3 linked regions of the Anolis sagrei genome follow. The main gene of each other region encodes a partner of the protein of the gene in region 3 in a complex. Links are inferred from orthologs where the notes say so. Each region holds a gene or a part of one and is shown on either strand. Other genes may lie near its edges.

Evidence for each region. Proteins that work in one complex are often made in the same cells at the same time.
Region 1: MED13L (region 3) and MED19 share a complex: the UniProt entries of both Homo sapiens proteins name them as parts of the mediator complex. The link is inferred for Anolis sagrei from reciprocal best matches to the Homo sapiens genes MED13L and MED19.
Region 2: MED13L (region 3) and MED31 share a complex: the UniProt entries of both Homo sapiens proteins name them as parts of the mediator complex. The link is inferred for Anolis sagrei from reciprocal best matches to the Homo sapiens genes MED13L and MED31.

The regions. Positions count from the first base shown.
Region 1 is NC_090021.1:234,311,098-234,319,798, forward strand, and holds the start of MED19 (mediator of RNA polymerase II transcription subunit 19), read right to left. Parts: upstream 3,516-8,701; 5' UTR 3,419-3,515; coding exon 3,214-3,418; intron 177-3,213; coding exon 1-176. Other genes in the region: TMX2 (thioredoxin-related transmembrane protein 2), read left to right, coding at 3,821-4,009, 5,691-5,751, 7,426-7,539. UniProt on the Homo sapiens protein: Component of the Mediator complex, a coactivator involved in the regulated transcription of nearly all RNA polymerase II-dependent genes.
Region 2 is NC_090031.1:29,644,982-29,652,880, reverse strand, and holds the start of MED31 (mediator of RNA polymerase II transcription subunit 31), read right to left. Parts: upstream 3,516-7,899; 5' UTR 3,429-3,515; coding exon 3,419-3,428; intron 3,334-3,418; coding exon 3,256-3,333; intron 2,511-3,255; coding exon 2,414-2,510; intron 1-2,413. UniProt on the Homo sapiens protein: Component of the Mediator complex, a coactivator involved in the regulated transcription of nearly all RNA polymerase II-dependent genes.
Region 3 is NC_090034.1:43,697,776-43,706,092, forward strand, and holds the start of MED13L (mediator of RNA polymerase II transcription subunit 13-like), read left to right. Parts: upstream 1-5,023; 5' UTR 5,024-5,180; coding exon 5,181-5,240; intron 5,241-8,317. UniProt on the Homo sapiens protein: Component of the Mediator complex, a coactivator involved in the regulated transcription of nearly all RNA polymerase II-dependent genes.

The DNA of each region.
Region 1 (8,701 bases), on a different chromosome or scaffold from region 3:
AATGAGGGAGCGCAGGCTGCTGTTGTCATGAGATCCTGGCAAGTCAATCATCCCTGGCAGGTCTGGCAGAAAGTTACTGAGCTTTTCCTTCACCTTTTTCCCACAAAATTTGTTGTAAGCATGCTCCAGGTTGTAGTGGGTAATCAGGTTTGTGCTTCCTGTGAGTTCAGTGGTTCCTGATAAGGAATTTAAAAACAACAACTTTGCAATCCTGCCAAAGATAAGTTGGGACATCTTCTTAAGAAGTCACACTCTGCCTTTTCATGCATGTTTCTCAAGTCTTTCTGAAAGCTTACTTCCCAGTAAGGATGCTAATAAACATTAATTAGTAACATCCATACTCAGTGTGCAACTTGCAGTCTTCCAAATATTCTAGGACTGCAATTCTCATCAGGCTTACCTAGCATCATTAATAGTTAAAGGATAGGAGTTGCAACAACACTTAGGGCCCTTCCACACAGCCCTATATTCCAGAATATCAAGGCAGAAAATCCCACATTATCTGAGTGTGGACTCAGACAACTCAGTTCAAAACAGATATTCTGGGACATAGGGCTGTGGGAGCTGGAAGAGTATAGAGAAGTTGATGCACATTTCTCATGCACGGCTTTGACTCTTTGAGAGTTTAAAGCATCACTGCATCCTGAAGCTCTCTTTTGAACATTCATATGACAGCCACATCTTCAGGAATTTAGTTTGTGTTTCACCCAGTATCTCCCTTTTCTGAGGGAAACACACTTGTGTTGCACAGGCAAAAGAAGGAGCTCACCTCACACCACTCCACATTCCCCACGTATAATTTTCTTTTCCTGTATTCTGTGAATATTCGTTATGCCCAGGGAAAGGAAAATAAGGGGGAGGAGGAGAACACACAGAAAGAGGAAGAGCCAGATCCACTGGGACTGATTTCTCCTTCCATCTCTCCCATGTTTCTGATCTGCCCAGTATATTCTCCCTTTACCTGGACAATAGACTTGCACCATAGAGGAAGGGTGGGATCTCAGCATTGGTGCCCTATTTCCCTTCCCTATTAAAGATGTTGACTTTTTTCCACTTTCGCTGTTTCCCTAAGTCCCATATAAGTAGAGGGATGACTCTACTTATTTTAAAACAAACTTCCCAAAAGTCAGTAGAACTTCAAAAGAAAAAAGCATGCAATAGGTACAGAATGAAGCACCCAACTCCTGCTCCCCATTCCACAGGGTAAAGTAGTACAGGTTGAGCATCTGCTAACTGAAATGCTTGGGGACAGAAGTGTTTTGAGAAAACCTGTATTCCCACAATAATATATACTAGTTTTAAATGCTTGCTTATGTTTATTTTATGGATTGCTTATTATGTTTTACATTTGTGTCACTGACTGTTGCGTATTTACTATTGTATTTTATTTTACTGCATGTTAACATGTTGGGTCCCTTCGTGGGAGAAAAGTGGGATATACATAAAGATGTATTATTATTATTATTATTTGCAAGTATGTATATTATAAGACATCCTAGGAATGGGTCTAAACATGAAATTCACTTATGTTTCATATATACCTCTTATTTCTAGTTTGAATGTATTTTATACACAATATTTCAAATAGTGTTTTCTATGATGGTTGTGTGTACTAAAAGGCTATCACTATCTCTGCCAGCCATGTGGACAATTTCAAAGTATTTTGTATTCTGAAAGTCTATGTTGATTTGTCTTCTAAGACCCCTCCTGCACAGCTGTATAAAATCCAGATTATCTGCTTCAAATTTTTGGTTGTTGTTTTTGCTGCAACATAGGGCCCTTCCACACAGCCATATAACCCAGAATATCAAGGAAGAATAACCCACAATATTCCTTTGAACTGGGCTATCTGAGTCCACACTTCCATATATCCCAGTTCAAAGCAAATATTGTTAGATTTTATTCAGCTGTGTGGAAGGGACTTTAGGCACCCTTCTACACAGCTGTAAAAAATCAAGATTATGTACTTTGAGCTGGATTATATTAGTGTAGCCTGAGGCTTGTTCCACGCAGCTGAATAAAATCCCACATTATCTGTTTTGGATATATGGCAGTGTGGACTCAGATAACCCATTTCAAAGCAGATATTATGGGATTTTTCTACCTTGATATTCAGAGTTATATGGCTGTGTGGAAGGGCCCTAAATGTTGTCGTGTCGGTCAAAAATCTTCACTTTTGAAGGATTTAAATGCATACATGGAATATAACAAAATACAAGTAAACATACTGATCAAATACCACAAAGCTTTAAGGTCAGGAACAAGTACCTTCCAGGGCCCACCTACACTGTAAAATGAATGCACCTCACTACCTCTCAGGATGCTTGCCATAGATGCAGGCGAAACGTCAGCAGAAAATGCCTCTAGAACATGGCCATATAACCCGAAAAAACCTACAACAACCCAAAATGAATGCAGTTTGACAACTTCGAGGAATGATGTTCACTCCTCGAAGGCACACCAGAACTGCCAGGGCTCAATGCTATGGAATCCTGAGACTTGTAGTTTGGTGAGGCACCCATAGCAAACGACCTTGTTAAACTACAAGTCCCATGATTCCACAGCATTGGAATCACGCCCTTTATACACCTCCTGTCACATCAGCACTTTTAATCTTTGTACCCACCTTCTGGCCCGGCCCAGTTTTATTGTGTTTTAGTGTATTGTGCCTGTGGTTTACTTTGCTTTTCTGTTTTTAATTGATTTGCTTAGATTGTATTGTTATGTTGTGTGTAGAGGCCTTGGCCTGTGTAAGCCGCATCGAATCCTTCGGGAGATGCTAGCGGGGTACAAATAAAGTTTAATAATAATAATGGAGCCAGGGCTGTTCACGTGCAGACGTGTCCTCGATTCGGGTAAACAGCGAGGGAGACTCGACCTCACGTTCTCAACAATGAACTTCTCTAACTTCCGGTCTTACAGCGCCAAGTCCAGCCAGAAAATAGGAGCTCGGCTCCGCCCCCAGGTCCCCTGCTCCCTCATTCGCTCTGCCATCTGCCCATCACTTCTCGCCTAACCGTTGGTGAGATTAAATCCCCACAGAAGAGGGAGAAGCCCACCTGGGGCAACTGGGCCACCGATTGGACGGCTCCCTCCTGACGCCATCACGAAGGCCAACCCGCATTGGCTGAGAGCACAAGGCCCGCCTCCCTTTCTGGTTGGCTTAAAGGGCCTCCCGGGCCCGCCTCCCTCCCGCCCTCCCTCGGCCCCTACCTGGCAACTCCCGCATCAGGTAGAAGGGCCCACTGGCGGCCGCGGCCTTGCGCGCCGCCTCTTCTCCGATGGGAGCCACGGCCGGCACGGGAGAGGGCCCCGTCACGGGCCCGCCCGCTTTCCCCGGGCCGAAGCCCAGCGCAGCAGCCGCAACTGGCGGAGGAGGTTCGCTCGCCCCGAAGAGAGCGGAAAAATTCTCCATCATCCCGGCGTGCTTCGCGCAGTCTCCACCTATTGGCTCCGCGTCTTGGCAATCCCATGCGCTTGCCCCGATTTCATTGGCGGTCTCTGAACCCGCCTCCTAGCTATGATTGGCTAGCTCCCCTGGAAACCCGACTTTGCTCTGATTGGGTGGTTCCAACACTTCCCCTTGATGCAATTTTACGGGGCGCCGAAACGTCAATAGAATGCGCCGGAGAGAGGCGCTCTTGTTTATAGTCTCCGTAGCCGTTGGTGTGTGCGGAGTTGGCCAATCGAAGCGCTAGGTGTCACCTTTAGAACCGCCCTTTTTGGATTGACGCGTCCGTCGACCAATGAGTGTCAAAGAACGGTCTAAGCGGCGACCTGTTGGCGCGCGGTGCGGCGATTCGGTCAGTGGGAGGTGAAGATGGCGGTGCTGGCGCCCCTCCTGGCGCTCTTCTACTCCGTGCCGGGGATCTGCCGCTGGCTCGCCCAGCCCTACTACCCGCTCTCGCTCCTGCTCTCGGCGGCCTTCCTGCTGGTGCGGAAAGTGCCGCCGCTGTGCCATGGGCTGCCCTCCCAGCGCGAGGACGGGAACCCCTGCGACTTCGACTGGGTGAGGCCCTCCCCCAGGCCCCTTCAGGCGGACGGGCCTTCTCCTTCGCGCCTCGCCCTTCAGGCGGAGACTGCACGGCGACAAGCTTCGCTTCCCCACGCGGAATGGATCCTCCCGCCCCCCAATCATCATCATAATAATCATAATAATAATAAACAACAAAGCAAAACGAATACAACATACAATACATAAAATAATACATAAAATAAAGTACAATAAAATACATGGAAAGAAAGAAGGAGAATAATATAAAATAAACACAGGGTACAACAAAATAAGCAAAGACATTAAGCCGATGGACAGGGCCAAGTACAACGGGTAGGACTGTAAAACCCTGGGTGAGGTGGATAAGTAGGGTGATGCATCTGGTGGGGTTCGGATGGGACAACCAATGGGAATTAATTTCAACTAAAGGGTAAGATACTGTGCGTCAAAGTACAGAGTTGGTTAAGGTATGGGAATTTGATGTTCATTCCTCGAAGGCACACCGGAACAACCAAGGCTTTAGGCTCTTCCTGAAGGCTGCCAGGGTGGGCATTTGTCTAATCTCTCTGGGTAGAGAGTTCCAAAGTCGAGGGGCCACCACAGAGAAGACCCTCTCCCTCGTCCCCTTTTGTTCTTATTCCTATTGGATAATCACTGGTCACATAATCAAATGGAGGATTATGACCTGTTAGGGTCATTACTTATTGGATTCTGACCCATTGGGAAAACTGTAATATGTATGTCTTTTAAGAAAAAAAAATGGTATTCACATATATTTATACTTGGCAATCGATTTTTCAGTTGTTAGACCAGGCATGGGCTAACTTTCTAACTTGGGGATGGGTGGGCCAGAAGGGAGGGGGTTCTCCCCAAGTCCCTTTTCCGCCCCTTCCTCTTCTCTTTCAGAGAAGTGAAGGAATGACGGGAAACGTTTAGCTCTCAAAAGTGTTGGCCTTATCAGGATGAAAGGGTGGATGGAACAGAAAAAGTGTATCCATTAGATCCCATATTAACTACTCCTGATTAAAATCCAAGATATAATTAGACAAGACATTAGACTTCAATTATAGTTGTCAAGATTATCAAATTGACATACACGAGCATCTTTGTATATTATGTCCCCTCAATGTCCTCTCATATATAAAAACAGGATTTTGTGGCATAGTTTTTAAAAACCTTACTAACTGACCTAAATCATGACCTGAATCTGAATTCCTATATTACATTACTATATTTTTAAGTTAAGCCAAATTGATCCTGTTTAATTGCTCTGTTTCCATGCTATTTCCTATGCTACTATATGTTTCTATCCACCTATTATATCACCCTATCCATTAACCAGTTTGCATAGTGACTTCCTCCCCCCCCCTCCAAATTTATTATTATTTATGCTGTTTTATGCAATTTTAACTTGTTATTGTACTGTTTTTAATTGTATATTGCCTTGGGCTTGGCCCCATGTAAGCTGCCCCGAGTCCCTTCGGGGAGATGGAGGCTGGGTAGAAAAATAAAGTTCTTTTTCTTCCTCCAATTGTGTTATTAGATCAGAAAATATGAATATTTGTTAACCAGCTAGAAAGCAAAACTTAAATGACATAATTTTTGTCTGCCATTAAATGTTTTGCCTATTTTATGGTAAAACAACTTCTATAGACCCGTATTCATACTGCCTTTCAATATATTGTCTGTCTTTTAGCGGGAGGTAGAGATTCTGATGTTTCTCAGTGCGATTGTGATGATGAAGAACCGCAGATCCAGTGAGTAATACTTGTGTGTGTTTGTGTGCACTTTCAAGTTGTATATCAACTTAAAACACCGCATGAATTTGGGAAGGTTTTTCTGACAAAGCAAGACTTGGAGAAAGCTCGGCTAGTTCCCTCCTCTGAAATATAGCCCGAAGAACCTGGCATTCCTTGTTTGTTGATTAACTTCCAAAATCAGAAAGGATCCTATGGCTTCAATATATTTAACTCCTAGTAATATTTGCATTTGTTATTTATTGTTCCCTGGAGTAAGATACTCCGTTGCAACAGAGAGTTTACAGTGAATTTTTTTCCAAAGAGTTTTTACCTGTATTAAAGGCTTTTTCTTTCTTCTTAAAAAAGTTGGCTATGTCCATTCAGTGCACACAATCGCTAATCAAGGATGAGATATGTGTGTAATTTTATGAGATGAGATAATCTCCATACAGTAAATCAACACAGAAACTAAAGTTTCTAAGTTGCTAGTTATTCTGCATTAGATATATTATTAGTGAGGTCCCCTGTACATTCTTTTCAGAGGAGTGTCTTTGAAACATGCTTGCTGTTTCTTTTGTTTCTGACATCTTATCTGTGATAGCTAGATAAGGTAGCCAGAAGGCAAAGTTTTCATGAACCAATGCTTAGTGCATTATGGAACGGGTCAAATGAAAGACGTCCTGAAGCTGATAGAGAATAGTAAAGACAGAAACTGCGTGGAAAATTAAATGAAATAGAAGTAGCTGAAAAGAGTGAAATAACCTCTTTGTATGAAAATAACCTGCCAGTAAGTCCACTCAAATGATCCTAATTGTTTAATAATAATAATAATAATAATAATAATAATAAGTACAGTGCCTAGCAACTTTGGCCTGCACTTAAACACTATTGGCACTGACAAAATTACCATCAGCCGTCTGAAAAAGGCTACTGGGATTTGCATGCATTTATTCGCCAATACATCACACAGTCCTAGACACTTAGGAAGTGTCCGATGTGGATCCAATACAACAGCCAGCAGAGTGATCTTGTTTGCTGTGGACTCACTTTGTTGTGTTTCAAATAATAATAAAACTTTATTTATATTCTGCCCTATTTCCCCTGGGGGAGATAGGGTTTTTATATTTCCCTGAAGGAAATATAAAAACTTATCAAAAAGGTATTTAACACAAGAGGGTAAATTGCTAAGAGTACAGCAATTGCATGACATCCTTAAAGTATTTATATAATTTGAGATTCAAAATGAAAATAATATACGAGTCACCTTGCAGATACCTTTCACGAAATACAATAAGATGGCTCTCAACTCAGATTATTGAGGGTTTTCGCTTGCTATAGGATGGGATGAAGACACCACATTGGTTACACATGCCTTCTCAAGCTACTTTTTGCCAGCCGTAAACCATCACTGCAGGTGGGGAAGTGGTTGTTCAGAATTAGAATACTGCTTCTGAAAGCACCAAACAAGTCCTGTGTTTTTGTTGTTTTATAAATCTGCAATTAAAGTAATGGTCACTTTCAATTGACTTTCTTTTAAAAGCAATTCATTGGGAGTAGCCTATAGCAGGCCCTAGGGGAAAACCTGTTCTTTGGACATGGCAGATATGTCCATCCCTACTGTAGTCTATACAGGACTAACAGATGATGCAGATACCTGAGCTAACCATCTGTTTTGTGTGTTTGTTTTTCAAGTTACTGTGGACCAGCATGTGGGAAATATCTTTATGTTCAGCAAAGTGGCCAACGTCATCCTTTTTTTCCGCCTTGACATCCGGATGGGGTTGCTTTACCTCACACTCTGTATAGGTGAGACCTCTAGAGTTGGTTATGGAAGGATAGTTTCTGTAGATCTTTAGACACTAGGAGAAATGGGACTTTAGATACAGACTTCCTCTTGCCTTTTTGCACTTTTGCACCTTTGGAGTTGGATTTTGTGCACCGTGATATGCATTCTCCACAAAAAAAAAAATCATAATTGGGTGAATTTTTCCCTAAAATATCATTCTGCCTTTTATAGAGTTGGAAGTGGCTACAAGGGCCATATAGTCCAACCCCCTGTAATGCAGGAGTACACAATTAAGCACCCCTGAAAGAGATCCTTCATCCTCCAAGGTAGTCCATTGCATATCAATTTCTCCCTAATGTTTAGGTAGGATATTTTGTCTTCTATTTTGAATCTATTGTTTTGTGTTGTAGTCTCTGGAGCATCTTAAAGCTAGCTTATTTCACAATCTACATGGTATTCATTCAGATATTTAAGCCTAGCTACCAGGCCACCTCTCGGTCTTCTCTAAAAGCTGGACATCATCAACCCTCATAAGACTTAGTTTCCAGATCTTTGATCATTTTGATCACTCTTCTAGTTCACATTTTTATTGGTTATTGCAAAGCAAACGTTTCCCACTCCCTCTGTTTGAATTAATCCGATAATAGTATATGTGCCGTTACGCCCAGACGCTTTAAAATAAAACTTTGACGTGCTGCTATCTATGTCTGGGCGAAACTGCTGAGGTCTTTCTTTAGGCAGATTGAGCTTTCTGGAATAACTGAGTCCACTTCAATTCTAAACAATAAACAGGGTATTTATTCACGAAGTCCTGGTAGACTTGGCTCAGCTTATCAATACTACAAAACAATCAATGAATAATAAATTCCATCTATATTAATAAACTCTATCTATATTCAGTTAAACTCAATTACTCTATCTATATCTATCTATCTATCTATCTATCTATCTATAGGTCTCAATTAAACTAAATTAATCTATTACACTAAATTACTCAATAAATCTATCTATAACTAAATTAAACTCAATTGTTTTTACAATGATATTTTCTGAGGTACCTGTCTGCCAACAGCACATCATGGATTCTTCCTAAAACTGAAGGGGCAGGGAGACCTCCAAAATGGCTGCTTCTATCCTGGAAAAAGGGGCGGGCCCAAAGAGCTACTCTTTGGCCAATTATTG
Region 2 (7,899 bases), on a different chromosome or scaffold from region 3:
CGCATTGAGTCGCCTGTTAGGCTGAGAAACTGCGGTATACAAGTAAAGTAATAAATAAATAAATAAATAAATAAATGTGACTCCATATCTCCATGAATCCTCTCCAATGATGTTTAATACTTTTTAATATTTGTGCATTTCAGATTGTGCCGTCATGCTTTGAATCCCCTTATGGAAATAATAAGTTGGGTGTTGATAAACATAATCATAATGTTTCCTGCCAAAGACAGAGCCAGCATTGTCCATAGACACCTCCAAGGTCATGTGGCCAGCATGACTGAATGGAACAGTGAGAGGAAGCCACAGGGAGGAGTGAGCAAGCTTGTTTTCTTCTTCCCTGGAGACTAGGACGAGGAACAATGGCTTCAAACTACAAGAGAGGAGATTCCATCTGAATATGAGGAAGAACTTCCTGACTGTGAGCGCCATTCAGCAGTGGAACTCTCTGCCCCGGAGTGTGGTGGAGGCTCCTTCTTTGGAATACCGAGAAGAGGCCTCCCTTCTGAAGCTTTTAAACAGAGGCTGGATGGCCATCTGTCAGGGGTGATTTGAATGCAATATTCCTACTTCTTGGCAGGGGGTTGGACTGGATGGCCCATGAGGTCTCTTCCAACTCTTTGATTCTATGAACGCTGTTAACTCCCCACTGGAGTGGTACCTATTGATCTACCCACATTTTATAATAAATAATATAATAATATAATTATAATAATATAGGCATGAATGTGACTCCGTATTTCCATCAAACCTCTCTAATGATGTTTAATACTTTTTTGATATTTGTGTATTTCAGATTGTGTTGTCATGCTTTGAGTCCCCTTATGGAAAGAATAAGCTGGGTGTCGACAAACATGATCACAATGTTTCCTGCTAAAGAAAGGCTCTTACTTGAGGAACTTGGTGTAGCCGGGCTCCTTCCAGTACAACAGGGCTTGATAATATAATATAATATAATAATATATAGGTAAAGGTTGTCCCTTGACATTAAGTCCAGTTGTGTCCAACTCTGGGGTTGGTGCTCATCTCCATTTCTAAGCCGAAGAGCCAGCATTGTCTGTAGACACCTCCAAGGTCATGTGGCCAGCATGACTGCATGGAACGTGGTTAACTTCCCACTGGGATCTAGTCACATTTAATAATATATAATATAATAATATAATTATAATAATATAGGCATTAATGTGACTCCGTATCTCCATCAATCCTCTCTAATGATGTTTAATACTGTTTAATATTTGTGTATTTCAGATTGTGCCATAGAATCATAGAGTTGGAAGAGACCTCATAAGCCATCCAGTCCAACCCCATTCTGCCAAGAAGCAGGAATATTGCATTCAAAGCACCCCTGACAGATGGCCATCTAGCCTCTGTTTAAAAACCTCCAAAGAAGCAGCCTCCACCACACTCCAAGGCAGAGAGTTCCACTGCTGAACGGCTCTCACAGTCAGGAAGTTCTTCCTCATGTTCAGATGGAATCTCCTTTCTTGTAGTTTGAAGCCGTCATGCTTTGAGTCCCTTATGGAAAGAATAAGCTTTTTTTTTTTTCTTGTCAGGAGCGACTTGAGAAATTGCAAGTCACTTTTGCTGTGAGAGAATTGGCCGTCTGCAAGGACGTTGCCCAGGGGACACCCGGATGATTTGATGTTTTTATCATCCTTGTGGGAGGCTTCTCTCATGTCCCCGTATGAGGAGCTGGAGTCGATAGAGCAATGTTTCTCAACCTTCCTAATGCCACGACCCTTTAATACAGTTCCTCATGTTGTGGTGACCCCCAACCATAATATTATTATTTTTTTGCTACTTCATAACTGTAATTTTACTCCTGTTATGAAACATAATTTGGGAGTTGTAGTTGTTGGGATTCATGGTTCACCTACAATCAAAGAGTATTCTGAACTCCACCAACGATGGAATTGAACCAAACTTGGCATACAGAATGCCCATGACCAACAGAAAACACTGGAAGAGTTTGGTGGGCATTTGACCTTGAGTTTGGGAGTTGTAGTTCACCTACAGAGAGCACTATATCTGGACCAAACTTGGCACAAATACTCAGTATGCTAAATGTGAACACTGGTGGAGTTTGGGGAAAATAGGCATTGATATCTGGGAGTTGTAGTTTTCTGGGATTTATAGTTCACCTACAATCAAAAAGCATTCTGAACCCCACCAATGATAGAATTGGGCTAAACTTCCCACACAGAACCCCCATGACCCATAGAAAATACTGTGTTTTCTGATGGTCTTTGGTGACCCCTCTGGCACCCCTTGGCGACCTCTCTAGGGGTCCCGACCCCCAGGTTGAGAAACACTGCGATAGAGGGAGCTCATCCGCCTCTCCCCAGATTCGAAAGAATAAGCTGGGTGTCAATAAACATGATCACAATGTTTCCTGCCAAAGAAAGGCTCTTACTTGAGGAACTTGGCGTAGTCGGGCTCCTTCCAGTACAGCAGGTACTTGAGGTAATTGGCAAAGGCCTTGTCCTTGAAGAAGCCCCTCTGGGCCAGAACTGGAAGGAGGAAAAGGAACACAAATCAAGTCAGACACAATGGCCAGTTCTTGACCAGGCCCAAGGGGAGGGAACAACGTGTTCCCATCCACCTGCGCCACTGATTATCTAGCAAGCCAATCTCCTGGGAGAGTACAGCTTGGCCTTGCTTGATTAATTCACCTATTCATTCCTCGTATTGTCTAAGGCTTTCATGGCTGGAATCACTAGGTTCTTGTGGGTTTTTTCGGGCTATATGGCCATGTTCTAGAGGCATTTCTCCTGACGTTTCGCCTGCATCTATGGCAAGCATCCTCAGAGGTAGTGAGGTCTGTTCGAACTGGGAAAAAGGGTTTATATATCTGTGGAATGACCAGGGTGGAGCAAAGAACTCTTCTCTGCTGGAGCTAGGTGTGAATGTTTCAACTGACCACCTTCATTAGCATTTGAAGGCCTGCCTGAGCCTGGGAGATTCAGCAGGAGATTTTCCCAGGCTCAGGCAATCCTTCAAATGCTAATGAAGGTGGTCAGTTGAAACATTCACACCTAGCTCTAGCAGAGAAGAGCTCCTTGCCCCACCCCAGCCATTCCACAGATATATAAACCCATTTTCCTATTTCCAACAGACCTCACTACCTCTGAGGATGCTTGCCATAGATGCAGGCGAAACGTCAGGAGAGAATGCCTCTAGACCATGGCTCTATAGCCCGAAAAAACCCACAAGAACCTATTCATTCCTCCTTCAGTGGGTACCAATGGGACTCACAGTTGAGGTAGTTGGGGTTGGCCAGGCACTGCACGAACTCCAGCTCCATCTGGAAGCGCAGGCGGTTCCCGCCGTCCTCTAGGAACAAAACCACAAGGAAGGAAGGTCAATGAGGCGCCATTCCCACAATCCCCAGGAAGCCCTTTCCCCGTGCTAGTCTCACCGGTCTCCATGGCGACGCCGAGAAGAGGCCTGCCTTCCGAACGCTAGGCCGCAAAAATATGGCGGCTGGAGCCCCCCGCGCCTGCGCACTCGAGGGTCCGGTATCCATGGCGACGGCGCCCTCTCCGAAAGTAAGGCCTCCCATTGGCGGGTTTAGGCCCCGCCCCCCGGACCTGCGCTCTTGGAGGGAGAGGAGGAGGGCGGCCATGTTGTCGTCGCCTAGGCAACGGAGAGGCCTTGTCTTCCTTTGCTTTTTGAAGCGGGACTGGCTCTCCCCACTCCCTCCCCGTCTGCATTATGGTCCTGAAGCGTCCAAGGAGGCCGTCAAGAGGAACCCAAAACCATCTAGTCGAGGCATTGAAGGCACCATCTAATCCCTCTCGACAGAGGGCCACTCAGCCTCAGCTTGAAAGCCTGCAGAGAAGGAGATAGATTTGTATGGAATGAAACATAGATAGAGAACTATAGAGTTGGAAGGGACCCACAAAGGCCATCCAGTCCAACCCCTAAAGGATAAATAGATAAGTAGATAGATAGAATCCTAGAGTTGGAAGGGACCCAAAAAGGCCATCCAGTCCAACCCCTAAAGGATAGATAAGTAGATAGATAGAATCTTAGAGTTGGAAGGGACCCACAAAGGCCATCCAGTCCAACCCCTAGTAGATAAATAGATAAGTAGATAGATAGAATCCTAGAGTTGGAAGGGACCCACAAAGGCCATCCAGTCCAACCCTTAATAGATAAATAGATAGATAGAATCCTATAATTGGGACTCCCTAAGGGCATCCAGCCCAACCCCTAATAGATAAATAGATAAGTAGATAGAATCCTATAATTGGAAGGTCATTCAGCCCAACCCCATCCTGCCATTGAAGACACGATCCGACCCCTCTCAACAGATGGCCATCCGGCCTATCCTAGAATCTTTGTATCCTAGAGTTGGAAGGGAGGAGCAGAAAGATAATATTATTATCTATGCATCATCATCATTATTAGACTTCTAGAGATGGAAGGGATCCCCAAAGGGCTATCCAGTCCAATGCACTTCTGCCAAGCATATTATCCATTAATTTTTAAAATTATTTTACTGTTATTATTATTATTAATTTTATTTAATTTATTTATTATTCAAACTTATATGCCGCCACTCCCCTGGAGCTCGGAGCGGCTTACAAGAACAGGCTAAAATCTAACACAATTTAAAAACAATTTAAAAAAAATTTTAAAGACAGTAATATCAAAGATCAAAGGCCTATCAGACACCTAGAGTTGGAAGGGACCCCCAAGGGCCATGCAGTCCAACCCCTTCTGCCAGGAAGGAAAATAGAATTACTATTATATTAGTATTCTTAATTATCTTATTATTATTATTATTGGATTACTATTATATTATTATCCATTATATCAGAGGTCCTCAAACTAAGGCCCGGGGTCCGAATACGGCCCTCCAAGGTCATTTACCTGGCCCTCGCTCAGGGTCAACCCAAGTCTGAAACGACTTGAAAGCACACAACAACAACCCTATCTCATCAGCCAAAAGCAGGCCCACACTTCCCACTGAAATACTACATTTGTTAAAATTTGTTAAAATTTGTTTAAAATGTTCGTTTTAATTATTTTTTAAAATTATTGTATTGTTTTTAACTGTTTTTTGCACTACAAATAAGATATATACAGTGTGCAAAGGAATTCATTCATGTTTTTTTCAAATTATAATCTGGCCCTCCAACAGTTTGGGGGACTGTGACCTGGCCCTCTGTTTTAAAAGTTTGAGGACCCCTGCATTATCATCATTAGACTCCTGGAGTTGGAAGGGATCCCCCAAGGGCCATGCAGTTCCCCCATCTGCCAGGAAGGAAAATAGAATTACTCTTATATTATTATTCACTATTATAAATTATTACCGTATTGTCGAAGGCTTTCATGGCTGGAATCACTGGGTTGTTGTAGATTTTTTCGGGCTATATGGCCATGTTCTAGAGGCATTCCCTCCTGATGCTTCGCCTGCATCTATTGCAAGTGTCCTTAGAGGTTGGGACCTCACAACCTCTGAGGACGCTTGCCATAGATGTAGACAAAACATCAGGAGAGAATGCCTCTAGAACATGGCCATATAGCCCGAAAAAACCTACAAGCCATAAATAATAATAATAATAATAATAATAATAATTACTATTATTATTGGATTACTATTATATTATTATTCATTATATAATTATTATTATTAGACTCCTAAAGTTGGGACCCCAAAGGGCCATGCAGTCCTACCCCTTTCTGCCAGGAAGGAAAATAGAATTATTATTATATTATCATTCATTATTATCAATTATTATTATTGGATTACTATTATATTATTGTCTATTATGTAATTATTATTAAACTCCTGGAGTTGGAAGGGACTCCAAAGGGCCATGCAGTCTATCCCCCCTCTGCCAGACAGGAAGATACAATTACTATTTAATATTATCTGTTATTATTATTGAATTACTGCGACCAAAAGGTCACAGGTTCAAATCTGGGGAGGGGCGTGAGCTCCCGCTGTCAGCCCCAACTTCTGCCATCCTAACAGTTTGAAAATATACAAATGTGAGTAGATCAATAGGTACCGCTTCTGTGGAAAGGTAACGGTGCTCCATGCAGTCATGCCGGCCATATGACCTTGGAGGTGTCTACAGACAACGCCGACTTTTCGGCTTAGAAAGGAAGTTGAGCACCAACCCCCAGAGTCGGACATGGCTGGACTTAATGTCAGGGGGAAACCTTTACCTTTACTATTATATTATCCATTATTATTATTATTATTATTATTATTATTATTCTCCTAGAATTGAAAGGGACCCCGAGGGCCATCCAGTCCAACCCACTCTTCCAGGAAAGAAAATAATATTACTATTATATTAATAATAATAATAATAATAATAATTATTATTATTATTATTATTATTTGAAACAAAACTAAATGAGACCACAGCAGACACTCTGCTGGCGGTTGAATTGGATCACACATCGGACACTTCACAAGTGTCTAGGACTGTGTGATGTATCGGCGAATAATGTGTGCAATTATTATTATTATTATTAATATTATTATTATTATTATTATTATTGAAGGAAGATGCCATCCCTCCCGACCCGTGGCCATTTAACCTCAGAGATATTAGCAAGTTTATGGAGAAGTATGGCTATGGAATTCTGAGATCCTCTAGTTGGAAGGAACCCCCAAGGGCTATCCAGTCCAACCCCATTCTACTATGGAGGAGGGCACAGTCAAAGCCTCTGCTTCAAAGCCGTCCAGCCGTCCAGCCTCTGCTTCAAAGCCTCCAGAGAAGGGGACTCTGTGACAGAGACTCCAGTGCCGAACAGCTCTTCTTTCCAACGAAACGTTCTTCTTAATGTTCAGGTATGACCTTAATGGGAGAAAGACTGCCAGGCATGTCCAAAGCCCGGTCTGGGGGCCAATTGTGATCCTTGTTCAAATTCCTATTGGCTCCTAACTCTGTTATAGAATCAACAACATGCGGGCATGCCAGCACTGTTGACCACAGTATAAAATACATGTGTACAAAAAAGTGACAATGTAGAGGTACAACAAGCGAATTCTTCCCCAAAGATATATATACAAGATATATACACACATACACACACACACTAGCCTGTGTACTTGGTGTTGCCCAGGCTATTTGAAAAAGTCAGATTTTTAATTGTCCAATATGCATAAGGTTGTGGGTGAACTACAACTCCCATCGTGCCAGGTTAACCCCCTGAAACTCCATCAGTACTTCAGGTTTGTTATGTTGGGCAAGTTTGCTCCATATGTACCATCAGTGGGGTTCAGTGTGTTCTTTGGCTGCAGGGTAAACTACAACTCCCACCATGATAAGTCAATCCTCTCAAAACCCCACAGTTGGTTCAATTCGTCTGTGTGTCAAGTTTGGTCCCAGTTTATTGTCACTGGTGGTCACAGTGTCTCTGGTTGTAGGTGAACTACAACTCCCAGAAATTATGGTCAGTTTCCCGCAAACCCCTCCAGTATATTCAGTTGGTCATAGGGGTTCTGTGTGTCAAGTTTGATTCAGGTCCGTTGTCGGTGGGGGGATCACAGTTTCTCTGGTTGTAGGTGAACTACAACTCCCAAAATTCAAGGTCTATCCTCCCCTAAACCCCTCCAGGAATCAAATTTGGCCGTATCAGGTATGCGTGCCAAGGTTGGTCCAGATCCATTGGTGTTTGGGTTCACAGTGCTCTCTAAATTAGGTGAACTACAACTCCCTCAAATCAAGATGAATTTTCTCCAAAGACCTCCCATATTTTTTGATGGTAATTCGGGTTCTGTGTGCCAAGTTTGGTCCAATTCTCTTTTTGGTGGGGTTCAGAGTGCTCTTTAGTTGAAGGTAAACTATAAATCCAAGCACCTACAAGTCCTCCCAAAACCCACCAGTATTCTAATTTGGGCATATAAGGTATGTGTACTAAGTTTGGTCC
Region 3 (8,317 bases):
AGCATGTTTGGAACCACTGAGAGCAAGATGGTGACCACCACAATAAATGGAGAAGACAATTGAGAGAGAAAATATTCCCATTATGTTGGTCTTTCAGCACAGAAAGCGTATCCTCTCTCAATTTTGGAGCAAATGGTGCAGATGGATGGACAGGCAAGTCACCTTCTCCTACACGTCTGTCTGCTATTCGCAAAGTTGCCTGGTTTTAGGGAGAAGATACCACAGTAAGGCCACCAACGAAGCCCACAAGGCACAGGTGAAACCTATTGTGGTACCCCGCAAATCAGACCTATCTGGAAAATAAGCCCTACAACTTGCTGACTGAAAGGCTGCAGGTTCGAATCCAGGGAGAGGCGTGAGCTCCTGCTGTTAGCCCCAGCTTCTGTCAACCTAGCAGTTTGAAAACATGCAAATGTTTGTAGATCAATAGGTACCACTCTGGCGGGAAGGTAACATGCTGGCCACATGGCCTTGGAGGAGTCTATGGACAACACTGGCTCTTTGGCTTAGAAATGGAGATGAGCACCAACCCCCAGAGTTGGACACGACTGGACTTAATGCCATGGGAAAACCTTTACCTTTACCTATGATTTTTCAGGATGCTTGAAATATGAGCCCTAGCCTCAAAAAATAAACCCCAGTTCAGGTCGTTAGGCAGACAGACACATTTAGTACGTCAGTTGCAACACATTATATTAATATATAATGAAATATAAATAATATTCTTGATATCATATTGTGATGACGTTCCAGAAGAAGATGGCATAACTGTATTTGAATAAATATAGGCTTTTGTGCATTAATAATAATAATAATAATAATAATAATAATAATAATAATAATAATTTTATTTCTCACCCACCTCTCCTCATGGCTTGAGGTGGGTTACAGTATAATTAAAACACATAAACATTGTGAAAATTGTATAAATACACACATGAAAATGTATTTCTATAAAATGCATGTTAAAATACACAGAACAGAGATTAAACACAAGGCATGAGTTTAAAATTTATGCTTAAAATTTAGATGGAAAAAAGCCCAAATGCATCTTTTGGAGCAAAAAATTAATTTACGTCCTGGTCTTATTTTCGGGGAAATACAGTAATATGGTCCCTATCTCTCCATTGGGGTCTGAGAATGCATTGGGGTTAGGTTTCAGGACTTCCATGCTCGTGAAATGTGGGCTAGAAAATACTACTGTGAGATGGATTTGTAACTGGTGAAGCGACTGAACCCAAAGGGTGCTCCCCAATGGTTCCCCTTCATCTTGGAATGAAGTGAGTAGTAGAGTGCCATAGAGAGGGTTCTGTCCTGGGCCTTTCAGGGCTGTTCAGTTAATGACTTGGACGAAGGTTTAGAGGGCATGATGATCAAGTTTGCAGATAGTATCAAAGGAGGACAGAGAGTGATTACTCCAGAGGACAGGATCAGAATTCAAAACAACTTTAAATGATGAGAGAGCCGATTGGCCAAAACTAACAGAATGAATTTCAACAAAGAGAGAAATGTAGGACACTTCACTTAGGCAGAAAAAAACAAGATGCACAGATACAGGATGGGTGACACCTGGCTCCACAACACGTGAAAGAGATCTTAGAGTCTTCATCAACAAGCAGGCTTCAGACCAGGGAAAAAACTGTACAGCTCAAATTCTTAACCTGACCGAATATATCAAGGAAGGCTATGAGAAAGGTAGCATTACGGGAGCAGTTTTTGTGGACCTTACAGCAGCCTATGACACGGTGCAACATAGGAAAATGCTGCACAAAATCTACCATACCACCCAGGACTACGATTTTACAAAAACCATCTAGACCCTCCTAGAAAACCATTAGTTTCTATGTGGAGTTTCAGGGCAGGAAAAGTAGATGGAGGAGGCAAAATAATGGTCTACCCTAAAGAAGCGTTCTTTTAATTTATTTATTTACTGTATTTTTATCCTGCTCTATCACCACCCCGAAGGGGACTCAGAGCGGCTTCCAGTTTGGCAATGATTCAATGCCACATAGCAACATAAAAGCAGATAAATATACAACACATTAAATGTTAAAAGCATAATGGACCATATAAATACATTGAAATAACTGATTAAAACCATAGCATCTAATTCCATAGTCATAGTCCAAGCCAATTTGTTTGTATTAACTTTGCAGTGACATATTTATTTACTATATTTCTATCCCACTCTCTACTGGAGATCCCCGTTGGCGCAATGGGTTGAACCAGTGTTTCTCAACATGGGGTGTCGGGACCCCTGGGGGTTGTGAGGGGGGTGTCAGAGGGGTCGCCAAAGACCATCAGAAAACACAGTATGTTCTATTGGTCATGGGGGTTCTGTGTGGGAAGTTTGCAGAGTAATTTTCAACGGTAAGCAAACAGTATTGTGGTGCCTCCCCCCCCCCCCAAACCAATCACTGATATGTATTTTCTGTTCGTTGTGGGAGTTCTGCATGCCATATTTGGTTCAATTCCATCATTGGTGGAGTTCAGAATGCTTTTTGATTGTAGGTAAACTATACATCCCAGTAACTACAACTCGCATATGTCAAGGTCTATTTCCCCCAAGAGCGCCTCAAGAGCGCCCCTGGGCAAAATCAACTATACTGCAAATGCTTACTTTGCATAATGGGTTGAGCCGCCCCTGGAAGTTTGGCCCAATATATCGTTGGTGGGGCTCAGAATGTTGATTGTAAGCAACTACAACTCCCAAATGTCAAGTCTATTTTCTCCAAACTCCACCACTGCTCACATTTGGGCATACTGAGTATTCATGCCAAGTTTGGTCCAGATCCATCATTATTTAGTCCACAGTGTTCTCTGGATGTAGGTGAACTACAACACCAGAATTCAAGGTCAATGCCCACCAAACCTTTCCAGTATTTTCTGTTGGTCAGGGGAGTTATTTGTACCAAGTTTGGTTCAACTCCATTGTTGGTGGAGTTCAGAGTGTGCTTTGATTGTAGGTTAACTATAAATCCCAGCAACTATAATTCCCAAATGACAAAATTAACCTTCCCCAACCCCACCAGTATTCAAATTTGGGTGTATCGGGTATTTGTGCCAAATTTGGTCCAGTGAATGAAAATACATCTGCACATCAGATATTTACATTACGATTCATAACGGTAGCAAAATGACAGTTATGATGTAGCAATGGAAATAATTTTATGGTTGGGGGTCACCACAACATGAGGAACTGTATTAAGGGGCCGCAGCATCAGGAAAGTTGGGAACCATTGGGTTAAACCCTTCTGCTGGGAGGACAGGTAGGAGGTTCGAATCCGGGGAGAGTGCGGATGAGTTCCCTCTGTCAGCTCCAGCTCCCCATGCAGGAACATGAGAGAAACCTCCCACAAGGTTGGTAAAATAGGATTTTTTACACCGAAATTTGACAAAAAAGATAATATCAAAGCCTGGGAGGCAATTGTAAAATAATGGTATTAGCTGCCGAAGCAACTGTGGCATTGGGGTGGAAAGATTATAGAAAATGGGAGGTTAAAAATGCTATGAGTATTTAGCAGAATAAATGCTTCAGGATTATATCCATGAAAAAAGAAGCAAATACACAACATGCCGATTTAAGAAAACTTGGGTGCAGAAATGGGAAAGACTGATCGAAAAAGTGGAAGGAAAAGAAAGATATAATGTGCTAAACCATTCTCTTTTTACAGTTGTTCAATTAAATTAAGATCTGAATTAAGGTGAATACTGTTCCCTGAAGGGGGTGGGGAGGAGGGGGGTAAAACTGTCAGACACAAAGGTAAGGTGAAGGGGAGACAGATAAGAGCATTAGGAAAACAATATGTGATATGTGATATGTATTCATAATGTAATTTAGCAACTGAATTTCTAACAATGATAGTATGTGATGGTACTATTTTTGTGTTGAAAAAAAAAGAATAATAATAAAAAAGAGAAATTAAAAAAAAAGGATGGTAAAACGTCAAACATCTGGGTCTCCCCTGGGCAACGTCCATGCAGACGGCCAATTCTCTCACACCAGAAGTGACTTGTAGTTTCTCAAATAAATAAATAAATAAAAATCTTGCTCTCTCTCACCCTGAAGGGGACTCAGAGTGGCTTACCGTTCGGCAATATTCAATGCCACATATTCAAATAAACATTTTGTACTGTAGGTTCTTGTGGGTTTTTTCGGTCTATAGGGCCATGTTCTAGAGACATTTCTCCTGACGTTTCGCCTGCATCTGTGGCAAGCATCCTCAGAGGTAGTGAGGTCTGTTGGAAATAGGAAAATGGGTTTATATATCTGTGGAATGACTGGGGTGGGGCAAAGAGCTCTCTGCTGAAGCTAGGTGTGAATGTTTCAGCTGACCACCTTCATAAGCATTTGAAGGCCTGGCTGAGCCTGGGAAAATGTTCTGTTGAGAGGTGTTAAGATGTGCCTGGTTGTTTCCTCTCTGCTGTTTTGCTGTAGTAATTTTAGAGTTTGTACTGTGGTTGTGCAACTCCCCAAACACTTGATTCCACAGCCTGATTTTGACTTTCTGAAAGCAGGAGGGAGGAAGCTATCTAATAGCATTGGGGAGGGAGGGAGTTCCATAGTCGAGGGGCCACCACTGAGAAGGCCCTGTTCCTTGTCCCCACCAGTCTCTCCTTGCAGCTGGAGGGGGGGGGGTGACAATGCAATGCCAAAGTCTTGCAAAAGCCCAGTCCTGCCAGTGTGTCTGGCTAACCCCCCCCCCCCAGTTGCACAGCGCCCCCACCGGCGGGGAAGGGAATTGGAAGGCGCGCGCCTCAGGAGGAGAGAAAAAAAAGCGAGGGAACGGCCAGCGGTGGAGTTCTCCTTTGGGCCGGGCAGAGCGTACCACGTGGCGAGGGCTGGGCCAATGAGGGGGCGCGGCGCTCCTGTGGCGCGGCCGCCATGGCTGTCAGAGCGGCGGCGAGTGCGTGAGGAGAAGGGAGGGAAAGAGGCGGCCGGGTGACGAAGGAGGAGGAGAAGGAGGAGGAGGAGGAGGAGGGAGGGAGGGAGGGGGAGGGAGGGAGGGAAAGGAAGAAAAGAACCGAACGCGGCGGCGGCGGCGGCGGCGCTGCTTGAGGGAAGCGGTTGCCGTCGCCAACGGAAGCAGTCCCGGCTTGGGCCTGGAGCCGCTCTCGCCTCAGGCCCGCTCCGACATGCCCCGCTCTGCCGGCGGAGGAGGAGAAGGAGGAGGAGGACCATGAGCGGGCTGGCGAACGGGGCGAGCCTGGAGGACTGTCACGCCAACCTCTTCTCGCTGGTGAGGGAAAGAAGCCGAGGGGAAAGGGAAGCCCAAGGAGAAGGGAAGGGGACTCACTGCCTTCTTTGGCCCTTCCAGCCCTCACATGCCCTGCCTAGGGTGCCCTCTTCAACTGCTGTGCAGACTCCCAACTTTTCCCCACTCGCCGCCCCTTCCGTGCGGAGAAATGCGCCTCTGGCCCCCGGGATATGGAACACCGAGAGGAACCAAGGAGCCCAAACCAGCCTTTGCTGTCTTTGCTGAGACAGGCTGATCCCACCCCCATCCCCCTTTTTTGTGTGTCTCTGTGAAGCATCTTCTGCAGAGTCCACTGTACACTCAGCACTTCTCGATCTCTTCAGAAGCCTTGCTGCTGCCCATTGTATCGCCTCCCTAACATTGAGCTCAGGGACCCCCCCCCCCAAATATTTGGGGTCGGGACAGTTGAAGAAGCAGCGTGGAGACACTCCTGTAATCCAGTTGGATGCAGTTCTCTCTGCATTCCGAAACTGCCTCCTGGAGCAGGGTCGATCCAGCCTTTTTCCGACCCCTTCCACACAGCCGAATAAAATCCCATATTATCTGCTTTCGACTGGAATATATGGCAGCGTGCCCTTCCAGACAGCCATGTAACCCAGTATCTCAAGGCAAAAAATCCCACAAGATCTGCTTTGAACTGGGTTATCTGAGTCTACACTGGCTTATATTCCAGTTCAAAGCAGAAAATGGGGGATTTTATTCAGCTGTGTGGAAGCGGCCTCAGATAAACCAGTTCAAAGGAGATATTGTGGGACTTTTTTCTGTCTTGATATTCTGGGTTATATGGCTGTGTGGAAGGGTCCTTAGATAACCCAGTTCAAAACTGATCTTGTGGATTATGTGCCTTGGTATTCTGGGTTATATGGCTGTGTGGAAGGACCCTTTGACAATCCAGTTCAAAGCAGATCTTGTGAGATTTTCTACCTTGATATTCTGGTTTATATGGCTGTGTGGAAGGGCCCTTAGATAACCCAGTTCAAAGCAGATCTTGTGGACTATTTACCTTGGTAATCTGGGTTATATGGCTGTGTGGAAGGGTCCCTAGAACAGGGTCGATCCAGTCTTTCTCCGGCACAGCGCCCCTCCTTTGTGGTCTGACCCCCCCTTTCCTGGTCTTCCCATGCTTTGCCTTCTCTGCCTTGGAGCCCACCAGCCTCTAATGCATGGGAAGCATGCCCAAAGTTGGGGCCAACCCTGGCTTCCTCTCTCACGTTTTAGCCTCCCTTCTCCTTCCCTGCTCACAGTGCTTTCCAGCCAATGGTTCCCCTCTTCTATTCCATCTTCCTCCCCCAAAAGGGATTTGGGGCCCTTCCACACAGCCATAGAACCCAGGATATCAAGGCAGAAAATCCCACAATAACTGCTTTGAACTGGAATATATGGCAGCGTGGACTCAGATAACCCAGTTTAAAGAAGATATTTTGGGATTTTCTGCCTTGATATCCTGGGTTCTATGGCTGTGTGGAAGGTCCCTGGGAAGGAGTGTCAACCAACCTCCTTTCCCATTGGAACTCAGTGTTCAGGAGAGAACATCTCTCTGGAGCCTTTACTTTCTTTCTGATGTGCTGTTGTGTGTGTGTAATCGTATGTATGTTACCAGAGAAAACATCTCTCTTGAGCCCCTCACTCACTCCTTCCTTCCTCCCTTTCACATGTCAAATGTATTGTCCACAGGTACTATGGAGTGAGTCCTTCCTTCCTTCCTTCCTTCCTTCCTTCCTTCCTTACTTATGTGCATATGTATATTTACAGGTATACACAGAGAGAACCATTTTCCTGAGCCCTTAGCTTCTTTCTGTCTTGTTTTCTCTCTTTCACTTGTGTAAGTATGTTTACATGTTCATATGGAGTGAACATCTCTCTTGAATCCCTCCTTCCTTTTGCATGTATGTGTGTGTGTAGATAGATAGACAGAGAACATCTCTCTTGAGACCCAGACTTCTTTCTTTCTTTCTTTTCTGCCTGCCTGCCTGCCTCCTTTCCAGAGTTGTGGCAACGTGAGCAGGATTTGCACGTGGGGCACCCCTTTTACTTGCTCTTGCTGTTAGTACAAGTAGGTTCTCAGCAGGCTGGAAATCCAAGTGATGAGTTCCACAGTAGTCCTCAGGGCTGGCAATGGACAACTTTCCTTCTGTGCTTGGTTTGAATGGTGCTGCCAGGGTCAGCTGTACCTAGGGATCTTTTCAAAGAAGGTCAGCCCAACTTGAGGCAGGCCAACAATGCTTCTCTGAACATGCTTTCACTGTTCTCCTTCTCTAGCAGGCAGAGGGAAAAGAGGGCTGGGGTTGCATCTTTTTGCTTCCTGGGCCTCCTGTTGAGTGGGTTTATTTAGGGCATTGTTTTGTCCAGATCAACTATGATAACTAATAGCACAGATCATCCTAAGTAGAGCCTAGTGTCAGCCAAAACGGAGCATCCAGAGCAATGGATTCTTTGTGGGGTGGGTTTGGGAAGGAGGGGCCGAACTGCTGTGGTCCCATAAAGCTGCTTTCCCTTTTAATACAAAAAAGCGGGATGGGGAGAATTAGTACAAAAGGATAGGGTAAAACATTGTGAGAGTCCCATGTTGCATTTGAGATTTGAGGGGGTCCTGAAACTGAAGGTAGAAAGCTGCTCTCCATATCTAGTGTATATTTCTGAATGCTTTTTATCTCAAGCAACAATGCTTTTGTGTTTGTAGACGTTCTTATTGGTATATTTCTGTATGATGTCATACAAAATAGAGGTTTTTCCATCCTTTAAAAAAGTAAATAATAATAATAATAATAATAATAATAATAACTTTATTCTTATACCCCGCCACCATTTCCTCAAAGGGACTCAGGGTGGCTTACATGGGACCAAATGTCCATAAGACAATAAAACAATAGTAGATGACATTTTACCAATTTATTTCTAGTTTTTTCATTTTTGCACGATCAGCAACATTTCCCTCTCGAATGGAATTATGTGAAAGCCCTGTTGTTGATACTTGCTTCCTTACTAATTTTACCATGTAACTTTATAATTTCTGGGTTGCAGATGTGGCTACTGGTGGCTTGGTTAGGCCATGCTTTTAG